4 linked regions of the Schizosaccharomyces pombe genome follow. The protein of the gene in region 2 purifies or fractionates together with the protein of the main gene of each other region. This does not show direct contact. Each region holds a gene or a part of one and is shown on either strand. Other genes may lie near its edges.

Region 1 (3,700 bases), on a different chromosome or scaffold from region 2:
TTTGACAGCATTCAGTACATTATTTATACATCTGAACTCCTCGTAGGAGATCACGAGCTACAGCGGTCACATCATGAAGAACAGCCTTCTTTGGTTTATCCTTCTTCATCGTTCAGTTCTACGAGCAAGTTTTGGAGATACTTCGCCTATCTGCTGAGCTTACAAATTGTAATAGATTTTGTTTTATACAAATTATCATCTGCAATGGCAAGTCTTCATTATCTAAAGTTTGTGAAGATAATAGCCTTATCTTATATTTGCTTCTCTTCGCTCATACGGATTTGTCATTGCTGGACATATTTTATTCGTATTATGGGATTATCCAGCTTAAATAAGTTTGTCAATCTATTGCATGATTTTGAAACTACATCTAATCGTGTTTACTCCCAAATTTGTGAATTGGAAGCAAATTCGGCAGCAAATCGCTCCCGGTTAATGGACTTCCTTCCTGCCAATGATCCTTTATTGTTTAATCTTACGGAACAAAATACTTTAAGTTACGAACTGTCTGGTTTGTATGAGAAGCTTTTACCTAGATACCAGCTGGTTCTGTCAAGAATATATCCGTATGCAGCTGCTTCCAACCTTAGAAACCTATTATCACTATATAGACTTCCAAATTGCTTTGGTAAATTAAATTCGTTTGACCTCCGAAAAGGTTCCTCAACAAGCTTAAAACGGAGTTCCATGTACCTAGCCCGTAAAGAAAACCAAGACTTTGATGACCAATCCACCCAAATTCTCAATCACATCAAAACTGCTTATTATGAATTAACTATAATCTCTAAGCAAGTTCTATGTTGCATACTATCGTTTCCGGTTGATTCATTTTTAGCTGAAAGGTCTTCATGGCTCATTGTTCACCGGGAGGTAGGTGACCTCTCTAATGCATTGTCTGTGTCGATGGTTCGTCTCGTTGACATCTTAAAGTTTTCAGTTGAATCGGTCAACCGTAATCAACATAACACTACTAGCAAACCTTTCCCCAGGATCATGTGCAAAGAAAATTTGCGCAGTCTTTTTAACGAGTTGCACTCTGTAATGATGGAAACTCATGAGTCTATCAGCTCATATATTCAAGAAGGAGACAATACAGCTATGCAGACATATGCTATGGATGAATATGATCAAGTTGGTTTACTGCTCAAAGATTTGCTCTCTGAATGGGACTTTAATAGAGCACTACTTCTCAACTTGCAACACATGCACCGAAAGCGTAAATAATTTTGGCTTTCAGAATTTTAAACCATATTTTGCTTTTATGATCTTTTTTATCCATTATTGTCCGTTTCTGTTATACGTCTTTCGGAACCTTGTTGGTTTTAATAGTTAGGATAGTTATTATAAACTATTTACAAATCGACATTTATCTAGGTTTAAATGTCGTTCAACTCAGCAATGATGTCTTTGTTGCTTAAAAATTTGCCTTAACCTTTCGTCCTGTATAATATTTTAGTTATACCAGTTTATCTTTACACTTATGCTTATGCTACTTATTGCAGGCGCAATTTTTTAAAAAATTAAATTAACATGAATTTACTATTATTCTATGAATTTTCCTGTTTTTATGGTCAAAACTGTTAAATTTTTTAAAGTTTTGATGGCTGTAGATTTAAAGTATAGATCGCCAATCGTGCGTTTACAAGTCATGCTACAAAAAATTTACTAAATATATAATATAAACATATTTAATTGATTTTAAAAATTTTCAGTCATTAATTCTCTCTGTATTCGAGTTTGTTTAATAACTACAGTATAACAGCGCTCCATTCTTTAACCACATGTCAGTACAGTATCCACCACAACATTCTGTTCTGCTCGTCAGCAGTGGATATGACCATACCATTAGATTTTGGGAAGCCCTAAGTGGAATATGCTCGAGAACAATACAACATGCGGACTCTCAGGTAAATCGTTTATGTATTTCACCTGATAAGAAGTTTCTAGCAGCCGCCGGAAATCCTCATGTAAGATTGTACGACATAAACACTAGTAGTCAAATGCCATTAATGACCTTTGAAGGGCACACCAATAATGTTACAGCCATCGCTTTTCATTGTGATGGTAAATGGCTTGCCACATCGAGCGAGGATGGAACAGTAAAGGTGTGGGATATGAGAGCCCCTTCAGTTCAGCGAAACTATGATCATAAATCTCCTGTTAATGACTTGTTAATTCATCCAAATCAAGGTGAACTGCTTTCATGCGACCAAAGTGGACGAGTTCGTGCATGGGATTTAGGAGAGAATTCTTGTACACACGAACTTATTCCGGAAGAAGATGTACCTATGAGCAGCATTACTGTTGGATCTGATGGTAGTATGCTTATTGCTGGGAACAACAAAGGAAACTGCTACGTTTGGCGAATGCTAAATCATCAGGGTGCTTCATTGCTTCAGCCCGTTGTCAAATTTCAAGCTCATCAGCGTTATATCACTCGCTGCGTCTTGTCTCCTGATGTCAAACACCTTGCTACATGTTCTGCCGATGCTACAGTGAATATATGGAGTACGGAGGATATGTCATTTATGCTTGAGAGACGACTTCAAGGGCATCAAAGATGGGTTTGGGATTGTGCGTTTTCTGCTGATTCTACCTACTTAGTAACCGCATCTTCTGATCATGTTGCAAGGCTTTGGGAGTTATCGAGTGGTGAAACAATCCGTCAGTATTCGGGTCATCACAAAGCTGCTGTTTGTGTTGCTCTTAATGACTACCAAATTTAAGTGTTTCAAAGCATTTTTCAAAATAAGTTTACGAGTTATGTTTTGTTGTATTTTTAGCTCAACTGATGTTGGAAAATTACTTCTATATATTCAAGTTTATTACACGCCTTTATCCTATTTTACCTTTGCTATATAGATTTTATTCACCAATCTTCTTAGGAAAACAAGAGTCTTGTCTTGTCAACATTCGTTTATATTAAGTGTGTCTGATTTCAAGACGATTTCTTAGTCACTTACAAATTTTTTATAAATTATATTCTTCCCTTGATACAGTATTTGCTAGTTTCATATCTCGGAGTTTTTATGATAAATAATAGTCTTAAGTGATGATAACTTTTGAAAATTTTCAATGCTTATTAGTGTAGTTTAACTTATTTTACAACTTTTATCTCTAAACATGATAGGATTAAGTAGGAAAAGTTACATATCCTCGTGTCCTTAAATGAAATGAAATGTATATCTTCATTAGCTTTCTGGTTAGCGAAGAAGCGAATTTGATAATGCAAAATTTGAAGAATTTAGTCTCGCTAAATCTGCTAATTAACTTACCGAGACTTACCGTAGTAAGATACGAAAAAAATTTCTAGGCCGTTCGACACAGCTGACCTTAACCACAACTCACAGCCAGCACATACTTAATCTCGCGAGGAGAAAAAACCTTCGATTTATAGCTCACTCTTTCCACTAACAATGTCTACTCAACCTCTTTTACAAACTACTCCTGGTAAAAGAATTGCTCTTCCTGTTCGTGTTGAACCTAAAGTTTTTTTCGCTAATGAACGTACTTTCCTTTCTTGGTTGAGCTTTGCAGTAGTTTTGGGTGGTTTGTCAGTTGGTTTACTTAACTTTGGTGATCGAATTGGTAAGATTAGTGCAGGACTTTTCACTATTGTTGCTATTGGTACCATGGGTTATGCTCTTGGTATTTACCACTGGAGAGCATCTGCTATTCGACGACGCGGAAGTGGTCCTTA
Region 2 (6,310 bases):
CAAAGTATATTACTAAGAAAGGTAAGCATTGAATCTTGCTTGCGAGGAAATTTTAGACATAAAGAACGAATGGCATCAACGACGATAATTTTGAAATTATCTGAAATATCGGACATAAAGGTAACAATCTGTTTCATCAAACGGTCGACAGACTCATCATTACCAGTCTTTAGAAGTGTTGTGATAGCGTAGGTGGCAATGGAGCGATTCACGTCGGTAATTAAAGACTCGATATTAAGATTGCAGGAATGTACTAAGTGTGGACGTGTCATGGCTAACTCGTTAAGCGTACGAATAGCTGAAAATCGGGTAGCGGATCGGTGAGACGACAAGAAAATTTTAAGAACGCTAACCACAGGTTGCAAGTCATCATCTGAGATATTTTTGAGACGGACCATATTTCTAGCAACTTCTAAGTTTACCATGTCTCCTTTACTTTTTAACCACCCATGTAGAAATGGAACCATCTGGTCTCTAAATTGAGTGTTTTGATCCATTAGACTAGAAATGTAGCGGATAAGCATAACAAATGCATGAGAATTTGAGACTGTTCCTAAATTGCTTACAAGCAGCTGCAATAACTTATTCATTGCAATCGAATCATGTCTTCGAATACGGTACAGAAGACCTAAAGCATGATATTGAGAAATGCCGCTGGCATTTGGTGTGTAACCCAAGGTAGAGGTGAAAAAAGGAGAGCTAGCAACTTTTCTACCAACATTATGAGATGTGACCGCGTCTTGAACCTCGTTGTTCCAACGCGATACAATGTCTTTCGCAACAGGATATAAATGATATGCGGAAACAAGAGCAGCGCTGGCAACAGCTGATATGGGGTCAACAATACCCGTAGTTAAAATGCGTTCAATCGCAGGGACAGTGTTAGCATCAATGACACGAATCAAAGAGCGAATAGCATTAGGACGGTATATAGTTTCACGTCCCGTAGCGGTGTCTTTCATGATACTACTGGTAATCATAATCACATCTTCAGCAACAACGGAAAGCTCCTTGATAATAATATAAACAAATTGGCGAAGACTAGGGTCTTTGTGTTGGAAAAGTTTAGTAATACCAAAAAAGAGTTCTGTAGCTTGCTTTTCCTGGAAATGCTCTCCCGTATATATCAAGTAGGCGATTTTGCTAAGAAGACGTCTACTCTTTCTAGGGCTTATGGAAGATGAATTAAAAGCCCTAGCATCTTGAGTTACTGTGACTTGATTGACATTGGCAAATATCGATTCGTCTATTGTTAAAAGGTCAGCTCATAATTCCAAACAATCAACATACCACCATCATCATCTTTTTTAGAATAACTCATCTTCTTTACAAAAGTCTCTTGTATTTAGCAGAAATACAGATATAGAGAACTAAATGAACGTACTGGATGTATGTAGTAGATAAATAATTAGCTAGTAGGAGGTTTCGATTATTACCAAAGTATAACGTGTTGTGTATTTTATATTTCTTAAGTGGATTACTGAAGTATTTTACGAGCGTTAAACAGTATAACGAAATATGCCCATAAAACACTGCAAAAGTTCGTAACTTACATGGTTTAATTGCTTTGACATTTCTCCTATATCACTTGCGTAATTCGTATATACATACAGAGTCATCTTAATTTTCTCTTATTTTTTTTTGTTTTGTTAATTAAGTTTCCCTTGAGTTCCTGATTTACCGACCTTTTGTACATAGGGAAGAGTTCTTGAAATGTTGTATTTGATTTTGAGCTATGCGACATGAATGATAGAATTAGTGAAGTATCTGGTAGCTCAAGGGCTCGTAGATCAGTCTTAAGCTATGGAACAACCGAGACCGGAAGCGATAGATACACAGAGAACAGCAACATTGCTACAGAGAATGGTGTCGATACAGCGAGTTCAATGATAGATGGGATACAGTCCGGATTCCCGCAACCTAGACATGGTTTTGAAGAAGAGTACAACAATGCTGAATATATAAACATGTTAGAGCAGGTCTTTTACATGTATTACACTGATAAACGGCATCGGGGGGTGATCAGCAAAAAGAATGCCGAACCTACTGAAACAATTCATGATTGGAGAATGCGCGAACGGCTTAAAACTGTTTCTGCAGCATTGTTAGTTTGCTTAAACATAGGGGTGGATCCTCCTGATGTTATAAAGCCTAATCCTGCAGCGAAATATGAATGTTGGATTGATCCGTTTTCATTACCTGCTTCTAAAGCACTTGAAGCCATTGGCAAGAACTTGCAGCAACAATATGAAACATTAAGTATGAGAACAAGATATAGGCATTACCTTGATCCCGCAATTGAAGAAGTCAAAAAACTTTGCATTGGTCAAAGACGAAACGCTAAAGAGGAACGGATCCTTTTTCATTATAATGGTCATGGTGTCCCAATGCCTACTGCCTCTGGTGAAATCTGGGTTTTCAATAAAAATTATACTCAATACATTCCTGTATCGCTTTATGACTTACAATCTTGGCTTGGAGCGCCTTGTATATATGTTTACGATTGTAGCGCAGCTGGGAATATCATAGTGAATTTTAATCGTTTTGCCGAGCAGAGAGACAAAGAAGCTCTCCGTATTGCTAAGCAAAATCCCAATGTGCTCGCTATGCCTTCTCATACTAGTTGTATTCAACTTGCTGCTTGTGGGCCTAAAGAAACCCTTCCGATGAACCCAGATCTGCCAGCTGATTTGTTTACTTCTTGCCTTACCTCCCCAATTGAAATTTCGGTTCGTTGGTATGTCTTGCAAAACCCGTTTCCTAATAAGCTTAATTTGAATATGCTTCTTAAAATTCCCGGTCGCTTGCAAGATCGGCGTACTCCATTAGGCGAATTAAACTGGATATTTACTGCTATTACAGATACGATTGCTTGGAATGTCTTTCCAAAGCATCTTTTCAGAAGATTATTTAGGCAAGATCTTATGGTAGCAGCACTGTTTCGTAACTTTCTATTAGCGGAACGTATAATGCTCGTTCATTCCTGTCATCCTCAGTCCAGTCCTGAACTCCCCCCTACCCACGATCATCCTATGTGGAATTCTTGGGATTTGGCCATTGATAATTGTCTATCTCAGTTACCTGATATGCTTGATGCTGAAAGCAAAGGCATAGCCTACGAGTACAAGCATTCGACATTTTTTAGTGAGCAATTAACTGCCTTTGAGGTATGGCTCTCTCAAGGACTAATTAGCAGAAAGCCACCGGATCAATTACCGCTAGTTTTGCAGGTATTACTTTCACAAGTTCATCGATTGCGTGCACTAATTCTTCTCTCAAAATTTCTGGATCTCGGGGTGTGGGCGGTAGATTTAGCGCTCTCTATTGGTATATTTCCTTACGTTTTGAAACTTCTCCAGTCTCCAGCTATTGAGTTAAAGCCTGTGTTGGTATTTATTTGGGCGAGAATCCTTGCTGTAGATGATTCTTGTCAAGCTGACTTACTAAAAGACAATGGCTATGGATATTTTGTCCAAATTTTGAACCCTAATTCTTCCATTTTTCCTTCAAGTAATATTTCCGAACACCGAGCAATGTGTGCGTTCATCCTCAGTGTTTTTTGTCGTGGGTTCCCACAAGGCCAGCTAGCTTGTTTAAACCCACAGGTTTTATCACATTGTCTTTCCCATTTAAATAGTCCCGACTCTTTATTAAGACAATGGGCTTGCCTATGTATTTCTCAGCTTTGGGAAAATTACTCTGAAGCTAAATGGTCTGGAACTCGTGATAATGCACATGTAAAATTAGCTGAAATCATCGTTGACTCCGTTCCTGAAGTTCGTGCATCAGTTTTAACAGCGTTTACCACTTTTTTGGGATTTCCTGAGAAGACCGAAGAAGTCGTTGCTGTTGAAACTTATATTGCAATTGCGGCGTTAGCAGCTCTTTCTGATGCGTCACCATTAGTTCGACATGAACTAGTGATATTCCTTTCTCACTTTGTAGTGAATTATAAGAAGCAATTAATGGTAGTTGCGTATGAGAGCAGTTTAGCAGATATCCTTGAGAAAAAGAACCACAATTCTATCAGTGCTTCGACAATTTACGAAACAGTTTGGCAAGCTGTTTTGGTTTTGGCTGCAGATCCAAGCATCGAAATTTCTCTTGCAGCTGAAGCCATAATAAATTACGTTTATCAGAGTATGCTAAATTCTGAATTAAGAGAATCATTTTTAGCATTTCTTCTGCAACACTTACCTGCTCTCCATAAAGCTTCTCTTTCCAAAGATACCGATACTAATTCAGTTACGAGCGACCCGAAGCCACATCCCTTCGTTCCTTCTGTTTCAGAAAACAAAATCTTGAACAGGTCATTCTCTCTGACTAGATCGTTGAAAGGCTTGGCTTTAAGCCTGGCAGGAAGTGATCGCGCTTCTGAATTACTTTCCTTAAATGGAGAAAACAAACCTGCAGAGTCTAATTTAAATCACTTAACTTCCGCCAAAGTTCCTGGTCCACCTGCATTTAATGAACTTGAATACCAATCCGAGCTAGACATGCCGCTTACAAGTTACTTATTTGATTGGTCTCGTAAGTATTTTACCGAACCCCAAATGCGGCCGAACGAAGACGATGAACCTGGAAGTATTTGCTATAATCAACGTTTGTGGAGAAGAAACAGAAACGAAAAACTTATTTATCGTACTCGTCCCCTTGCTGAATACTCAACCAACGGTCGTTGGAATCAACAACTTATGACATTTAATAATACTATCGCTCCTAGGAAGCTTATGTTTCACCAATTTGAAGATCAGTTAATTACATTAGGTGACAAAGATATCATTCAGGTATGGGACTGGCGTCGCAATCGTTGCCTCAATTCTTTCAAAACTTCAGCAAGTGCGACAACTAACGTGACCGACATGCAATTACTAAATGAAGATGATGTTGCTTTATTGATGACTGGGTCTTCTGATGGCACAATTAAACTGTATCGTGACTACGAAAATGAAAAGGTTGAACTGGTAACTTCGTGGAATTCTCTAAGTGATCTTGTCTTTGGAGATCGAAATGCTAGCCTTTTAATGAGTTGGCAACAGAACTGTGGGCACTTGCTTGTTGCTGGAGACGTACGCGTTATTCGAATATGGGATGCTTCTAAAGAAATCTGCTATGCAAACCTACCAGTAAGAAGCAGTAATAGTATTACAAGTTTAACTAGCGATTTGGTCGGTTGTAATATTATAGTTGCTGGATTTTCAGATGGAGTTCTTCGTGTTTACGACAAACGATTGCCTGCAAGAGATTCACTAACGGATGTTTGGAAAGAACATTCGTCCGAGATCGTCAATGTTGAAATGCAATCCTCCGGAATGCGAGAATTGATTTCGGCGAGTTCAGATGGTGAAGTTAAGCTATGGGATATTAGGATGAATCATTCTTTACAGACTTTTTCAACAGACAACTCTGGACTCACCTCTTTAACTGTGCATAGTCACGCCCCAGTTTATGCAACCGGTTCCTCAAATCAAAGCATAAAAATTTGGGACACGTTAGGCCAGAATATTAATACCTTCCGTGAAAATCCACGGTTCCTTAATCAGCCTAAACCATCCAGTTTAATGTGCCTGAAGTTTCACCCGCATCATTTATTACTTGCATGTGGTGATAACACAGATAGTAGAGTTAATCTATACTCTTGCACCAAAAACGAGATTCATACGGATTCGCCGAACGAGTTTTAAACCATGTTTTCCTATAGTTTTAACATAATTTATTATTGATTACTTTACCTGATTAGACTTTTCTTTCTATTAGCAACACTTAATTTGGTTATTATACATATTTTGCTAAACCTGCCACTTTGCTTAGTCTTCTCCTTTGCCGTGTAACTCTGCTATAGATATTTGTAAAACCAATTTTTAATATGGTTTTGAAGAAGTTTAAAAAATCACTAATTTACAATTAAGATATTACATTCATCGAAAAATTGAATCTTTTATATACATTTTATGAAAAAGCTAGTAATTATCAATGTTTTTTAATGTCAAGAAAAAAAAGCTTTTTTTAACTTAAAAAATAATTAATAATATACTAATATACCAATTTATTTATTTATTCACAATTTCATGTTTTCGCATTGTACTATTACTTTCTTATATTCGGGTCGTAAATTCTGATGCAGCTGAAGCTAACGAAAACTCTCCCATTCAGCGAAAATTTTATAATGGCAGATTCCGAAGAATACAAGACTGTCATTGGAATTTCTTTTGGAAATCAAAACAGTTCTATTGCTTTTAATAGGGTAAGAAAATTTTTTTACTTGGAGAAATGAGTAATCTCCTAGTTCATTCGCATAGACTTGCTTTAT
Region 3 (6,158 bases), on a different chromosome or scaffold from region 2:
ATTTTGGTGATATGTAAGAAAACATTCCACAATACAATTTGTGAAGTTTTTAGCTATAAATTTATCGGTTTAGGTTATTTTCAAAGTATAGTCGTTTTCAAAAAATTATATTCGTTTTCAAATTAAATTCGTTATCGTTCAGTAGTAACCTTTTTCATTCAAAACTCGTCTTCATCTATAACTAATCTACATCTTCATCTTCATCTTTACCTCTACTTTCTCCCATCTCTCCTTCCTATCGTCTCCTTCCTCTCTGCATCTTGCCGGCCGCCATTTTCTGACTCGGCGGGTCATCCACCTTTTAAGCTCAACCTTGTTTTGCTGGTCGCTCGCTCAATTCTTACAAAAGCCCAGGTTAATAGTGCGATTGGGTGATATGCAATGGAAATTAGCGCATATCTCAAGTTGTACGCACACATACGCTAATCTGGCGGCAATTCCTATTTTCTATTACATTGCATAAGTCAAAGCTACTTTGCACAAATTCAAGTAGCATTCATTTCCTTCTCTAAAATAATGTCTAGTCTTTGGACTTTTATCGTTTTCAATGGTTTTATTTCTTTTTTCCATTCCATTTATTTTTTTTTTGAAATTTTCACCTTTCTCAATTTATTCGTCGTTCTTTTTTTAATATAATAAGATTATACTTTTACAGCATACATTGTGTCTCACATAGTCTCTTCCATCGCGTTTCCCATTTTATGATCTTGCTAAAAAAATGTCATTCTTATGCAAATCACCCTGTACTACCACAGCACTTACCTTTCCGACATTCTTGTTCTCCATCTTACATGTCTATCACTGTAGCGATAGATTATTTGTGGTGCATGCCATCTCCAGGGATGATGGAAGGGAAACACAAGCACCCACGCCTAATTTTCGGTAAATTGTAGCAAAATTCCAATGGCAATGACTCGATAGAATCATTGTATGTGTGTGGTTTCTTTCCTTCCGCTCGTAGTACCTGTATTTTTCATCATGACTCCAAGTCTTCGCCATTCTTATTTCACTCCCGTTCCGTTCACCCCAAACTACTTCCTCATCACTTGCTTACTACTCAAACTGCCGGCACTTGTTTTCACACATTCGCTATGCTTTTTTATTCTTTTAACATTTGCTTAAACCTTACCTATAATACCCTGCGGTTTCGCAAATTGCCGCTCTTCAAATGCCCGCTTACTCTATTTTGCTTTCTCCACCCCTCCTTAACTCTCCAACTTCCCCAGCGTTCTACAATTCCTCATTCATTGGAAGACTAGTCGTTGGCTTCTTGTCATTTTGCCTTGCGCTATCTCCCTCAACGAAAAGTAGCTTTGCGAGACTTTTTGCCAAGTGCCACACTAATCTTTTGTACAGGGGGGAATCCCTGACTTTGTTTGCTGTGTTACATCGTTTGTAGGCAAGTAAAAGTGACAAATGCTTTCGCATCATATGTTACTTTAACCCCTGTGAATTTTGTCCCTTCCCCTCATACACATTTTGGCTAGACTTAAAAAAGTTGAATTTCTTTGTTTGATTTTCATTGTCAGTAACATCGCGTATTACGCCTCGCTCTATACTCTTACTAGTTGGTTGCCAATGCGTATGTATATATATATATATATACATACATACCTGGTGACTTACATAGTGAGAATCTATTCATTTAGCATATATTAAAAGGATATCCAGCGTTGAATTGTTTCGCGTCGTATATTGGATTTTCTTTATTATCAAATAAACAAAGCATTATTAGCATTCTGACTTTTCAATCTTAAACCTGATTGTGAATGCTAAAAGAAAGTATTTCATTTGATTAGTTTGCATTTTATTTTTCTTTGAGAGCTTTTGCCTCGTTTTTTTGTTTTCTCTTTGTTTTCTTTTTTTTTTTTACTCAACTTAACTTAACTTTTCTGGTCTTTGTCTTGATTGCAGCTTGTCGTCTTTGAATTAGCTTGCCTCCTCCCATTCTTTCCTGTCTATTCGTGTTAAGTCTATTCCTTTATCTTGGTTTGCTTTGGCTTAGCTCTATTCTTTTCTTTGTTTTGACTTTACTTTGACTTATTTTCACTGACTATTTCTAAGTTTAATTTGTTGATTAATTTTTATTCACATCTCTTCTTTTCTTTATAGTAAACAGACTTAAACTTTTTTTTCTTCTTCTATTCTGTTTCTTCATTTTGTTGGTCCAATTGGCTTCGCTTCTCTCTTCAAACTTTTCTCGTTTTTCTTGCCTCTACGTTCTTTTGGGATCCTCCTCTGTTGGAATTGTTAATTGAGAAGTGTTGGAATAATTTTTTCGTTTCTTGAAATCAAAAGGATTTTATCTTTTTTTTTAATTTTTACGTCGATTCCCTTACTGTACGTCGAATCCCCCCCTTTTTTTTATTTTTTTTCTACGTCAAAATTTTTTTATATATTTCTTTGTCTCTACCACCATAGTTATCCTTTATCAACTTTCTCTCTACTAATTAACTAAGTTGTTTCTTTGTTGCAATTTTTGCCCAACTTTAAATTTTTTTTATTCGCATCGTTATTCTATCGCTTGGCTGCTTATCCTTGATATCTGATCTATTAGATTTTCATTCCTCATTTTATTTTAATATCCTTTTTTTAACGTGTTTCTTTTGTGATTCCATTAGTACACACCATTCAGAATTAAGTTGCATTCACCATCGGTCTTTGTTGGCTCATGTTATAACATTATTTCTCCCCTGTCATTGTCGCATTATTCACGTATTCATTGGTATTCCTCACTTTATTTGTATACCCAAAGTTTCACCATCTTACAGAGCTCAACCATTCTTCAGTTATCGGTGTCTCTGAAATTTCTCCCTTGTTACGCCTTTTTATTTGACTCACTTTTCCGTTATTTAGTCTTCCGTTTCGTCTGTTTTTCCTGTTAACTATTCCGCTCTTTCTTGTTTTTAGTTTTTCCTCCGTTTTATATAGAGAAAAAAAAGCCTTAGAGGCTCGTGATTTTGTTCTCGTTTTCAAATCTCCTCAACTTAAAATTAGGCTTATAAGAAAATCACTTTTAAAGCTTCAATTTTTTTCTTGTGGCCTTCTATTATATATCACTTTCACTCCTTCTTCCACTTGGACCTCTACTAATTGTCTCTTTCAAGTTATCCTTGATTCAATCGCCTTTACGAAAAATATCCTTCATCATTCCAACTCGATCTAGTAACTTTTCAGTCTCAACTTTCATCTTTTTTTTTCTACGCTTCTTTACATTTTTCAAATCGGCTTTGAGTGTTGCTTCTGTTTTTTTCTTCTTGAGCTGGAAATTCCATTAGTTTCATTTATTATTTCATTACCTTACTTTTTTCGTTTAGGAAAAACCTGGCATCAAATATACTTTTGTCACTTTTTTCTTTTTTTTAGTCCAGTCAGTCTCTATTCATTAAGCTTGAACTTGATTTCTTTGGCGAACAAGCTTGTTTAATATCTAGATTGACGGAAATTTTATTTTCATTTATTTGTTGATACATACAAGGGAATTTTACTTTTACTATATTCATCTGTTACTTCACTGTGAATAATTTGTTCATTTTTCATTCTTGTTAGTTTGAGATTTCTTTCTATCTTAATACCATTTTTCTTTTTTTAAATAGAAAAAAATCCTTCACACCAGTTTTTATTCGGTGTTTATTTCTTTACTGTTTTCTGATCTCATCCCCTCTCCCTCGGTTTGTGCTGTTCGCTTCTTTTCTACTTCGTTCTTTCTGACTGCGAACTTCATTTATGTTTGCTTTGTTCTTACTGAATCATCTTTCTAATTAATTCTAAGAACCGTTTCATTTGTTTTATTTTCTCCCTTACTTTTACTACAATTTTTATATTTACTCTTCTCTACACAATGTCTGCTTCTTTAACAGCCGAGCAAAAGGACCAAAAAAGTTCTGTTAAGCGACCTTTAAACAGTTTTATGCTTTATCGTCGAGATCGCCAAGCTGAAATTCCTACTTCTAATCACCAAAGTATCTCACGTATCATTGGTCAGCTGTGGAGAAATGAAAGTGCCCAAGTCAAGAAGTATTATTCTGATTTATCCGCCCTCGAAAGGCAGAAACATATGCTGGAAAATCCCGAATACAAGTACACCCCTAAAAAGCGGTCTACTGTTCGTAGACGCCATAAAAAGGTATCACCTTCTTCCGGATCTTTTGTGGCCTCGGATTACGTTGTACTGCAGCAAATTGCACAATCTTCTAAGACTCTAAAACAGACCGAACCCGAAAAGCCTGTTAATGAGGAGGAAACTTTAGCAGCTTTATTAGCTCCCGCTCTTTCATATCCAAAGTCAGGTAAATCGAATCTTATTGAAACCAGTGAATTGTCTTGTCTTTCGTCTTCCCCAATGATTCGAAGTCATACAATTCCTTCCTTATCCTTCACCGATCAAGTTTCTACAACTATTTCTACATTGGATAAATCCGAGCAAGCTCCTAGTTCTTTGGGCATCTATTATAGATCACCCAGTAGCGGTAGTCCAATCGGGCGAACAAAATCTGTGTGTTTAGCTAATAAAGCCCGAATAGTACCGAAAAGATCAATGTCATCTGATGGCTGTGTTGACAAATCTTATCAAATGTCAAAAACACCGAGCTTGGAGGCGAACTTGCCTCAAAATTCAAGCAATTGCTCTGCTCGAAGAGTTCCAAAATTTGATTCTAAAGGAACCGTGAGTGAGCAAAGTAACTCTGATAGTCCAGAGCTGTCAGCCGATAAAGTGTTGTCTCATTGTAGTCCTATTGATGCTCGACCCTCAACTCCCTCTTGCCCCAATGCCAGTATATCACCTAAAACCCCGAATACCGGTGATCATTATGGTTTTGATGGAGCTGAGTACCTAGGAACTCCTCTCAGTGTAGGCAGCACTACTGCGTATTTATACGGCCAAGAGACCGAACTTTTATCTACGCCTTATTGCCATACTTCTTACCCAGCAATGAGTCGATTGAACAGCAGTTCTGGCTATACATGCGTCTCTTCGTCTAGTGTTACCAATTCTGGACATACTGAAAATAATACCTGGAGAAGCGACGAACAAAGTAAAGGCTTTGTTGACATTAATAGTTTTTCTCAAAGTTTGTTCTCAAATGGCAATTATGAGTTCGCCGCTCATTCTCAAGAATTGGATGATTTATTTTCACAAATTACGGATTTTACATCAACTGATCCTATTGCTTCCTCACTCAAAGATGCTAACTCATTGGGACCTTCTCTTTTAGAACCTTGGTTGCCCAATTCTAATTTATTTTGAAAATATTTCTATGCAAACATGGCTTTGTTTTCAACAAACGATCATTTTTAACGCGTCACAAAAGCATGCAGCTGATTTGTTCATGTCATGCTTAAAAATCTATATTTTTTTAATTTTGCATATCTTTGTTATGCTAGATGATGCCTTCCATAATTTATTTCATTTACCTTTTAAACTCTTTAATTATTCCCTTTTTATGTTTATTATAGGAATATGTGTATACTTAGTTTCCAAAGAGCACATTGGGCAACATTGAATAGTTGCCCACTAATTTTCTTTTTTTTTTAATTTTGAACAATGTCTTACGTTATGAATTGATTTCTTACATCTAATTTCCTGTCATCTAATTTGGGCCCGTTATTACATATATATTGTAGTTAAAAAAATATATATTATATCGCAACGTAATTTCTAATTTTTCTCTTCCATTACTTTCGTAAGAATGTTAAGTATATATATGTTCATTATTTTCTTTACGTATCAAGCAATCATCCAATGCAGTATTGTTATCACCATTTCACTAGATATACTATCGATGAAGGTTTACTTGGCACCCACACCTACTGGGGTAATGTAAAGATAACTCAACCAATAAATTGATTAAGAATAAAGGTAATTAAATTACCTGACAAAGAAACTTATAGAATTCATTCGGTTTCAATGGCGAAAGGTATCTATCTATAAATGTTTATAGCATTCGGCATTCAAATATTTCATGAAAAGCGACGGATTTAAAGAAGTAATGCTATCAAAAATCGATCAATTATATTTTAAAATTATAACGCAAGTCGTAAGAATCTTTGTATATGTTGGATTGCAAAACTGTATTATTTAAGAATGAAAACAAAAAGAAAAAGCCTTAACTCGTCTTTACCCACTAACAAAAAAAAAAGAAAAAAGTTAAGTTTAG
Region 4 (7,692 bases), on a different chromosome or scaffold from region 2:
CTTTAATACTCAGTCGTCTCGGACGTTGCTTAGATGTTATCACGTTGAATGTAGGGTAAAACTTTACAATTCTTATAACAGGTTTCCCGCTAACGTATGTTCCCGGAACAGCTAACTCAAGATCATGTACATGTAAGAGTTTAGGAGAAACGTATTGTAAATCTAATGTTGTCAACTGAGGTAGCTGTTTACGAATTTTCTTGAAAACTTGGTAATATAAGTCCCAGGCCTGATTTAAGTCTGATATATCACCAGTTTGCTCAAAACGGATACAACAATCCCTTGCTTCGACTAAGTCACGTCCAAAGGCTTGTTGGAAAGAAATTTCACGAAGCGTTTCCGGACCACGTTCCAACATTTCATGCAATGGTCTCAACACGGCAAACATACCCTCAATGTTATGATCACCAAAATACAATCGTGAAGCCTCTTCCAATCCTTCATGCCATTGTTCATGCCAAAGGATTGCAGCTCTGATAAGCTCATGACTAACAAGTCTTGCTTGTTCAACTAGACGTGGACTATGTGTTTTCAAGGAATCCATAATTGCTAAAGCAGCGTTTTGCCTAGCAGAACTCTGCGATTTTGCTGCTACAGTTAAAGGATAAACAAGAGCTTGGGGATGCGCGCGACCTACATCGGAAAGCAACTGATGCACAGATTTACGAACACTCAAAGAGGAGGCATGAATTCTCGCAATAAGCTGAGGTATAACGTCCAGCCAGATATCGATGTTCACAGTGGATATACCAACGTTCAAAGTATTAATTACATTGCTATTATTGCCGAATTTAAACCAAAGATTAAGAAGGCGCAAGGTGTCCTGAAGGTTACCTTTGCTTAAAGCAATTGACTTAAAAAAGCCTTTGACTGCTGGAATAATATACTGCTCATATGCAGCACTTGGGATTTGCTCCTCTGATTGCTCCAAAAACTTTACAGCTTCGAAATTAGCTAATGCCCAAGAGTGCCAAGCTTTATACCATTTAGAATCAAATTGCGTAGCATACATATATGATTGAAGAACTCCATCAAAAGATCCTTCTGACCAATTATTCTCAATTTCTTGCTGCCATTGACCTTGCTTGTGATAACATCTAGCTAGAAGATGAAAATAATATTGAATTTCTTCTTGTGATTTTTGAGTATTAACTGATGTAGATTGAACAAAAAGAGCAGGGTCAACATTAATGTCAGAAATTAGCTGAGAAGTAAACTCTTGCATGCTATTAAGAGCCTTCCTTTTATCGTCAACAGCCCACAAAAACTTTAGATTTGCATAGACAATTGAAGGGTGAGTCTTCTTTAAGACGAGTGAATTATCTAAGTTTTCGTCGTCTTCAAGGAGTAAATTAAGTGATTTTTTCGCTAGACTGATCCTACCAGATTTTCTGCAGAGATTAGCGAATTTGATCCACATCTCCATGTTATCACGGGGTGAAATAACTAAAGATCGTATTCTTAACATTCTTTGCCAAACATCCACATTTCTCTGACAGCCTTTCAAACGTCTAACCCATGTCTTCTTTATCATTTCACGAACTTCGGGTTTGTCCTCGGCTTTTTTATAGGTAATGATTTCTTCTAATTCGGATAACATTTGAACACGGACAGCAACGCTGTAAGCCCTATTATAACTTTCACCAACAAGCGCAGTAAGCTCAGTATCAAGTAAATCTCGAGCTCTGGTGATATAAGAAGCTGCTTCTTCAAATTGTGATCGATGTAGAGCCACAATCGCGTTAAAAAAAGCTTTATCTGGTGACTCAGACTTCATAACAGAAATATATTCATCCATTTGCTCCCATTGACCTAACCCCCAAGCAGCGGCTACGGAAAGCGGTGCAATATACCGTCGCGCATCATGACCAGCATGAATCCAATTTTCTTGAGCTAACTGAGATAATCGATCCCATTCACCCAAAGCGTGTAAACAACGAAGTTTGCCCATCGTTATTTCGAAATTGCCAGCGCCAGCAGCTTCTCTTTTTTCATAAGCTGACAGAGCATCTTCCCACCTTTGTAACTTTTCGTACCAAGTTTCTTTAAGATTCATTTTGTCATGCTGCTGAGCATGTTTAAGTATTCCAATAGCTGCGTCTGGTTGTTGGAGTTGATTATTGATTGAAATTAGGGCCTCAATTGTATCAACCGAAGGTTTTGTCACCAATTCTTCTTCAATGAATTCTAGCTCCTTGTAATGTAAAGCCTTAGCAAACGCATGGCATTTAGCTGCATAGGCACCCAAAGTACGAATATCAATCGGAAGTGGTTTATCATCATGCTCCATAAATTCCGCAAGATTGAGTAAAATCTGAATAATTTCAGGAGATATGTGTGGCGACGTTAAAGCTATCTCAATCGACTTAACTAATTCTTCTTGAAAGTGATCATATAATTCAGACCAACAAGAAACAAAACTAGCGTTAAATAAGTCCCTGGCTAAAGGTTGATAGGCAGCAGCCAAAGCAGCACATGCTCGTAAGGCATGTGAAGGTGATTCTCTTAAGAGAGCTACGCCTAATCGTCGGATCCATTCTTGCCAGTCATCCTTAGTCGATCGTTGAGATGCTTCCCACGCATTTCTGAGGATTTCTTGATTTACAGGAAGCTTTTTAGAGGTTATATCAGCAGCGGAAGCTACCACATCTAATTTAGGCTTATCGTATTTTTCATAAGGGTTGAGTTTTATAGGAAGAGGCTGTTCTTGTAAAAATTGTTCAACAAGTATCGAGTAGGTTTCATGAGTAACGCCATTCATCTTAAGGCACTTATCAATCATTGGAATGAAAATAGCAAAATCAACATTAAGTTGATATATAAGCGCACATACAGTATCCATACTCACGCGAATGAGAGAGGCATTGTTGCACGAAAGCATACGCATAACAGGATGTATAATTCTTGATGCATATTCCGAGAGATTAATAACCATTGAAAGTCGTCCAATTGTAATCATTATACTTTCTTTTATACCGATTGAAACATCATTTCGCTCATACAGTCGAAGTATTGGATCCAAGAGCATATGAAAATAATCAGCTAATGTATCACCGAAGACGATGAATGCGTGCAATACCTTTTTTGTACTGACTGAGTCCACTGATACATCAGAGTCAAATATTTGTAGCATCATTACTAATAAAGATGGTAAGTATGGCTTGAACTCTCCCTGCATTGCTCTAGCCAGTGATTCAATTAGCGACAAAATTGTAAATTGTAAATTAGAATGCGGGTTCCAAAAATCTTTGATAAGCTTAAATAAATCTGGTAAAAAACTTCGTATGTGCTGACGAACAATAAGGACCAAAATACTTAGTTGCTGAAAATAAAACTCCAATATGTTCGTAGGACACGTTCTCATAACTGCGATAAATTCTGGAATAATTTGGGAAAGAAAGGGGGCACATCTGAGACCCATGGTCTTGAATATATACATTACAGCTTGAATAACAGCAGTATGGTGAATAGTTAAGGACGGGTCTTTTAATATACTCATCAAAGCAGTAATCACGACTGTGGGGTAATATTCATCGGATGATGGACCAATGCCCGACATCAGCAAAGAAATGTCAGGAGGAATGTTTTTCTGTTCTGGAACTACTTTTTCTGTTCCCTTTTCTAAAACACGATGCCTATTGGGATCTAAAGCACCAAGTGTACCTATTAGTTTAATAGTCTCTCGACGAATAGTAATATCTTGTTCGGTTTTCGTTATGCCAATAAGTATATCAAGTAAAGAAGGGAATTCAATATACGGATCAATTACATATCCGGTGCTGCTTGATAAATTACCCAAAGCCTTTAAAGCCGCTGCTCTCCTAATAGGAGAACTTTGGTCCTGCAAAGCCTCAATTATTAGCGGCATTAAGTCTTTAATAAAAGGAACAATAACCTCACCGCTGATTTGGCATATTTCACCAAGCGAATTAACAATACTAGCTGCCACAATTGAACTAGAATCTTTAGCTTTGGGTAAAAGTATTTGCAGTATTGGTTCCACATGTGACTCTATTAAGCGAGGAGCTGCTGCAATTAATAAACACAATAACTTGGCATTCTCTTCTTTAGTTCTGATAATTGTAGAATAGTCCAATATTGTTAAAGTTTTTAACATTATTTTCCTTAAATATGGCATCACATAGGCAGGGTTATAGACATTTAGTCTTCCAATTATCCGTAATGCAGATTCTCGTACAGCAAAGTTTTCATCATTAATAGCAATAAAAAGTAAACGAATTTTATCTGCTTGGGCTAAATGCTTGTTAAAGCGAGAATCGAGAGAATTAAGAACAGTTAGCCGAATATCTGGAACAGTATCGCAAATACCAACTGTTAGAAGCTTTTCTAGCACTTCGGCAACTACTTGAATCGCATGATCACTAGTCTGCGATAAAATAGGATCACGAGCAAATAGTTGGGAGCAGGTTATGGAGGCGGTTTTGCGTACTTCCGGGTCATTGTTTTCAAGGTATACAACTACACAATCCTTCACAAATTCATTAAGAATATAACCGGAGAAGTCAAAATTTCCCAAAACTTTTAGAGCCAAAATATAGACGTCATTGGGAAAAAATCCTGTCTTCAGGGAAGCACTCTTTGAAGATTTTAAAGATCTTGCTACATATTGGGGAGGACATCCTGGAGGAATAAAAGGACGACCACTTAGAATTTTGCTGAGCATATCTAATAGTCGTTCCTGTATGACTGGTAATAATGGAGGTATATTATGGGCCAGATCTGAGAGAGCACGGTAAGAAGCCTCAGAAAGTCCGCTTGCAAATATTAAGTCAAAGAGGTCATACGCATAGTTTGAAAAGGCTTGTCCTAGTGCTATAGAAAGTAGGCTAATGCATTGAAAAATTGCAGCATCCGAAGCACTTTTATTACGGATATGGATTTTTAGACTTTCCTTGATTGAATCGCATATGGGGTCAAGATATGGGATTATGCTATTAGTAATAGCCACGGCAACTTTTCCAATAGTGGCAAACGCCAACATCTTAACATTTTCTTTTTTTAATAGATTAAGTAGATGGAGCATACAAACGTGTAAATAATTGGAAACAAATTCATCTGGATTATAAGCTGCGAGTGTAGCAATCAATTCTGTAACGGTTTTGCGAATAAGCAAATCTTTGTGATCTCTGAATTGCAATATAATGTCCGATACTTCTCGATACCTCTCATGCATAAACATTCCAGCTTTTAAAAATAATTGGCGATATACTAGTAAACTACCATGAATGTAATCAGAAGAACCCTGTGCAACACCACGTTGAGCTTCATTGAGAATACTTGTATACCATTGGAGACGGATGGATGAATCCCTTTGCCTAACGATTTTCAAGAACTCACTCAACGCATCAGCCGAAGCTATTCGAATAGTAACTTTTGGATCCCGAAGTCCATGCCATAAAAGCTCAAAAATTGAATCGATATGAGCATAGATTAATGTAGACGTATTTTTGGCAAGCTCCTTAAGTATAAGCACTGCTGCATATCTACGATTTTCATTACGTTCTCCTTGAAGCCATTCCAAAGCGCGTTTAACTTCGAAGTTCACAAATTCAGAAGTTAGAGCACCTCCAGGAACTGCAAGTCTCCCTAAAGCTTTTGCAGCAAGAACGGTGGCTTTTTGGTCAGTTCCTGGAAGAATAATACGCAAATAATTTGCAAATCTAGTAATCCTTGTAGTATCTTCTCCTTCATAATCAATTAGACGATTTATGGCAGTTACGCCTGCCAGACGATCGAGTGGATCGGTACTGTGAATTAAAGTATAAACGTACTTGTTAACATCATTGTTAAACTGAACTAAAGCTTCGCCCGATAATTCTCGAGAATAAGCTATAACATATTCATAAAGATCATTTGCCGCTTTATTGCGAATTTCTTCATTCCTGCTTTTCAACCCAGGAAATTCTTTCATTATATACAGCTTAAATTAGCATCATTCTCTCAATTAAACAAAATTATTAAATGTGGTTGGTGGTGACCAAACAAGCACCTGCTGTACTTTTGCACCTAATTCTTAGTATACGCAGAGAGGAGATCAATAGAAACACGATTGAAAAAGTAATATTTTTATGACGATTAATTATTTGTAATAGATATACAAGTTAATATTTAGTGTTCTCAAAAAATCCAAGTTTTATTAAAAAAAGTCTAAACTTAGGAACTTTGGTAAAATACCAAAAACGAGTGTTGATTATCTAAATTTTATTTTCGAAGTATTACTTTAAGTTTTTTACTTTACATTTTTCTCAAAGCTCATAGAGGAGAACAAATAAGAATCGCTGTTAAAGATTCTGACGCTAACCACCAAGTTCACAACACTTGTGATATTGCTAATATCCCTTTCTCTATTAAATGGTTCTGTATAAAAACAAAAAAAAACAAATCATTAATTATGCAAATTCGAATTGGGGTCAAAATGAAGGTGTAGAATTTCAAGAAACTATGCTACAATGCATCCTCGAAGCTGTCATTGTAAGTAAAGATGCTAAGCAAGTACTTAGTCTGTTACATGAGTTAAAGCTTTTTGAGAATTTCCTTTGGCAGAGGGTTAATACTGAGATGTCATTGAACCATATAAACTTAACTTGTATGCTTCTATTATACAAATCCAAATATGAATATATTACATGGGACCTCATTGATGAAAATCGGTTTCAATTATTTTTTGAAAAAGTAATTGAAGTCTCTTTATCCTTAAATTTATCAGAAGTGGTTTACATGATTCAATTCATTACTCTCTGTTTTCAGTTTTCGAATATAGAGAAATTAAGGAAACTTGTTTACCAGTTAACGAACATTTCTATTTTAAATTCGCTTGATAATCTTGATAAAGTAAAATATTTACTACATGACTCAAGCTCTCTGACGAAAGCCTTTGATTCTTATAAGGAAAAACGACCGTCTATCGTTGAAAAGTTCCCTTTACATAATTTACTTTCCCGCTGGATTCATTCTCTGCTTATTAAATCGATTAGCTACGCTCAAACTGAAAAACAAGAAGCGAAAGTAACCCCCCTTTTAGCAATTATCAATATGTCTTTGGTTTTACTATCCGCATTTCCCACACGTCGCTTTGCTCATCCCGTAATAGAAGACAGTTGTTTTTATACCGCATTAAGAATGTCTTTGTATTACGACAGTAATGAGCTTTTTAAAAAAATGACAGACGACTTAAACTATGTTTTGAAATTCCCTTTTGATAATACCAGAGGTAACGAATATGAGAAAGAACAAAAAATCAGAAATGATGAGCTTGTGTACTACCACTTACAGTTAACTTTATTTTCGGATTTTCAGAAGGAATTAGGGGATCTGGTATTTTGCACACAAACCTCTTTACAACAGCGACAAAAATTGGAGGAAATTACGTCTTTTCTTTCCTTCAATTCACTTAAGTCCTTGTGTAGTAAATGTTATTTGAGGACTTCATTTCCCGAAAAATATGCTATAAAAGTGGATTTCGAATTTTTAAAAAATGTTTTTATTAACACGTATGATAGGACTAGATTGGTAAATGATTATGATGAAATCATAAATTTTACTTTGAAAGATGTACTTGGTGAGCGATCCGTGATGGACCAAGAAAACTCTTTGACCAATTACTTCCTACTACAAAACACTGCTATACAATATCTTTCTATATCTTTTTTTATGAGACAACAGAGTAAAGCT

The links.
Region 1: the proteins of mip1 (region 2) and wat1 purify together in Schizosaccharomyces pombe (affinity purification with mass spectrometry, with the first as the bait; one study listed by BioGRID). This does not show direct contact.
Region 3: the proteins of mip1 (region 2) and ste11 purify together in Schizosaccharomyces pombe (affinity purification with western blotting, with the first as the bait; one study listed by BioGRID). This does not show direct contact.
Region 4: the proteins of mip1 (region 2) and tor2 purify together in Schizosaccharomyces pombe (affinity purification with western blotting; 5 studies listed by BioGRID, with this or other methods). This does not show direct contact.

The regions. Positions count from the first base shown.
Region 1 is NC_003423.3:1,661,166-1,664,865, forward strand, and holds wat1 (TORC1/2 complex WD repeat protein Wat1/Lst8), read left to right. Parts: upstream 1-1,775; 5' UTR 1,776-1,781; coding exon 1,782-2,726; 3' UTR 2,727-3,195; downstream 3,196-3,700. Other genes in the region: myosin-binding vezatin family protein Inp2, read left to right, coding at 1-1,224; vacuolar transporter chaperone (VTC) complex, GTPase regulator subunit Nrf1, read left to right, coding at 3,417-3,700. UniProt on the Schizosaccharomyces pombe protein: component of both TORC1 and TORC2, which regulate multiple cellular processes to control cell growth in response to environmental signals. Nutrient limitation and environmental stress signals cause inactivation of TORC1.
Region 2 is NC_003424.3:1,516,723-1,523,032, reverse strand, and holds mip1 (WD repeat-containing protein), read left to right. Parts: upstream 1-1,590; 5' UTR 1,591-1,742; coding exon 1,743-5,684; 3' UTR 5,685-5,810; downstream 5,811-6,310. Other genes in the region: coatomer gamma subunit Sec21, read right to left, coding at 1-1,246, 1,291-1,321; ssz1 (putative heat shock protein Pdr13), read left to right, coding at 6,167-6,244. UniProt on the Schizosaccharomyces pombe protein: Component of TORC1, which regulates multiple cellular processes to control cell growth in response to environmental signals. Tor2 is essential for growth. Nutrient limitation and environmental stress signals cause inactivation of TORC1.
Region 3 is NC_003423.3:3,981,745-3,987,902, forward strand, and holds ste11 (DNA-binding transcription factor Ste11), read left to right. Parts: upstream 1-1,631; 5' UTR 1,632-3,841; coding exon 3,842-5,248; 3' UTR 5,249-5,656; downstream 5,657-6,158. UniProt on the Schizosaccharomyces pombe protein: Key transcription factor for sexual development. Activates the transcription of the matp, matm, mei2, mfm, ste6 and rgs1 genes. Binds specifically to a DNA fragment carrying a 10-base motif 5'-TTCTTTGTTY-3'.
Region 4 is NC_003423.3:916,353-924,044, forward strand, and holds the start of tor2 (TORC1 serine/threonine protein kinase Tor2), read right to left. Parts: upstream 6,001-7,692; 5' UTR 5,933-6,000; coding exon 1-5,932. Other genes in the region: protein Cwf11, read left to right, coding at 6,373-7,692.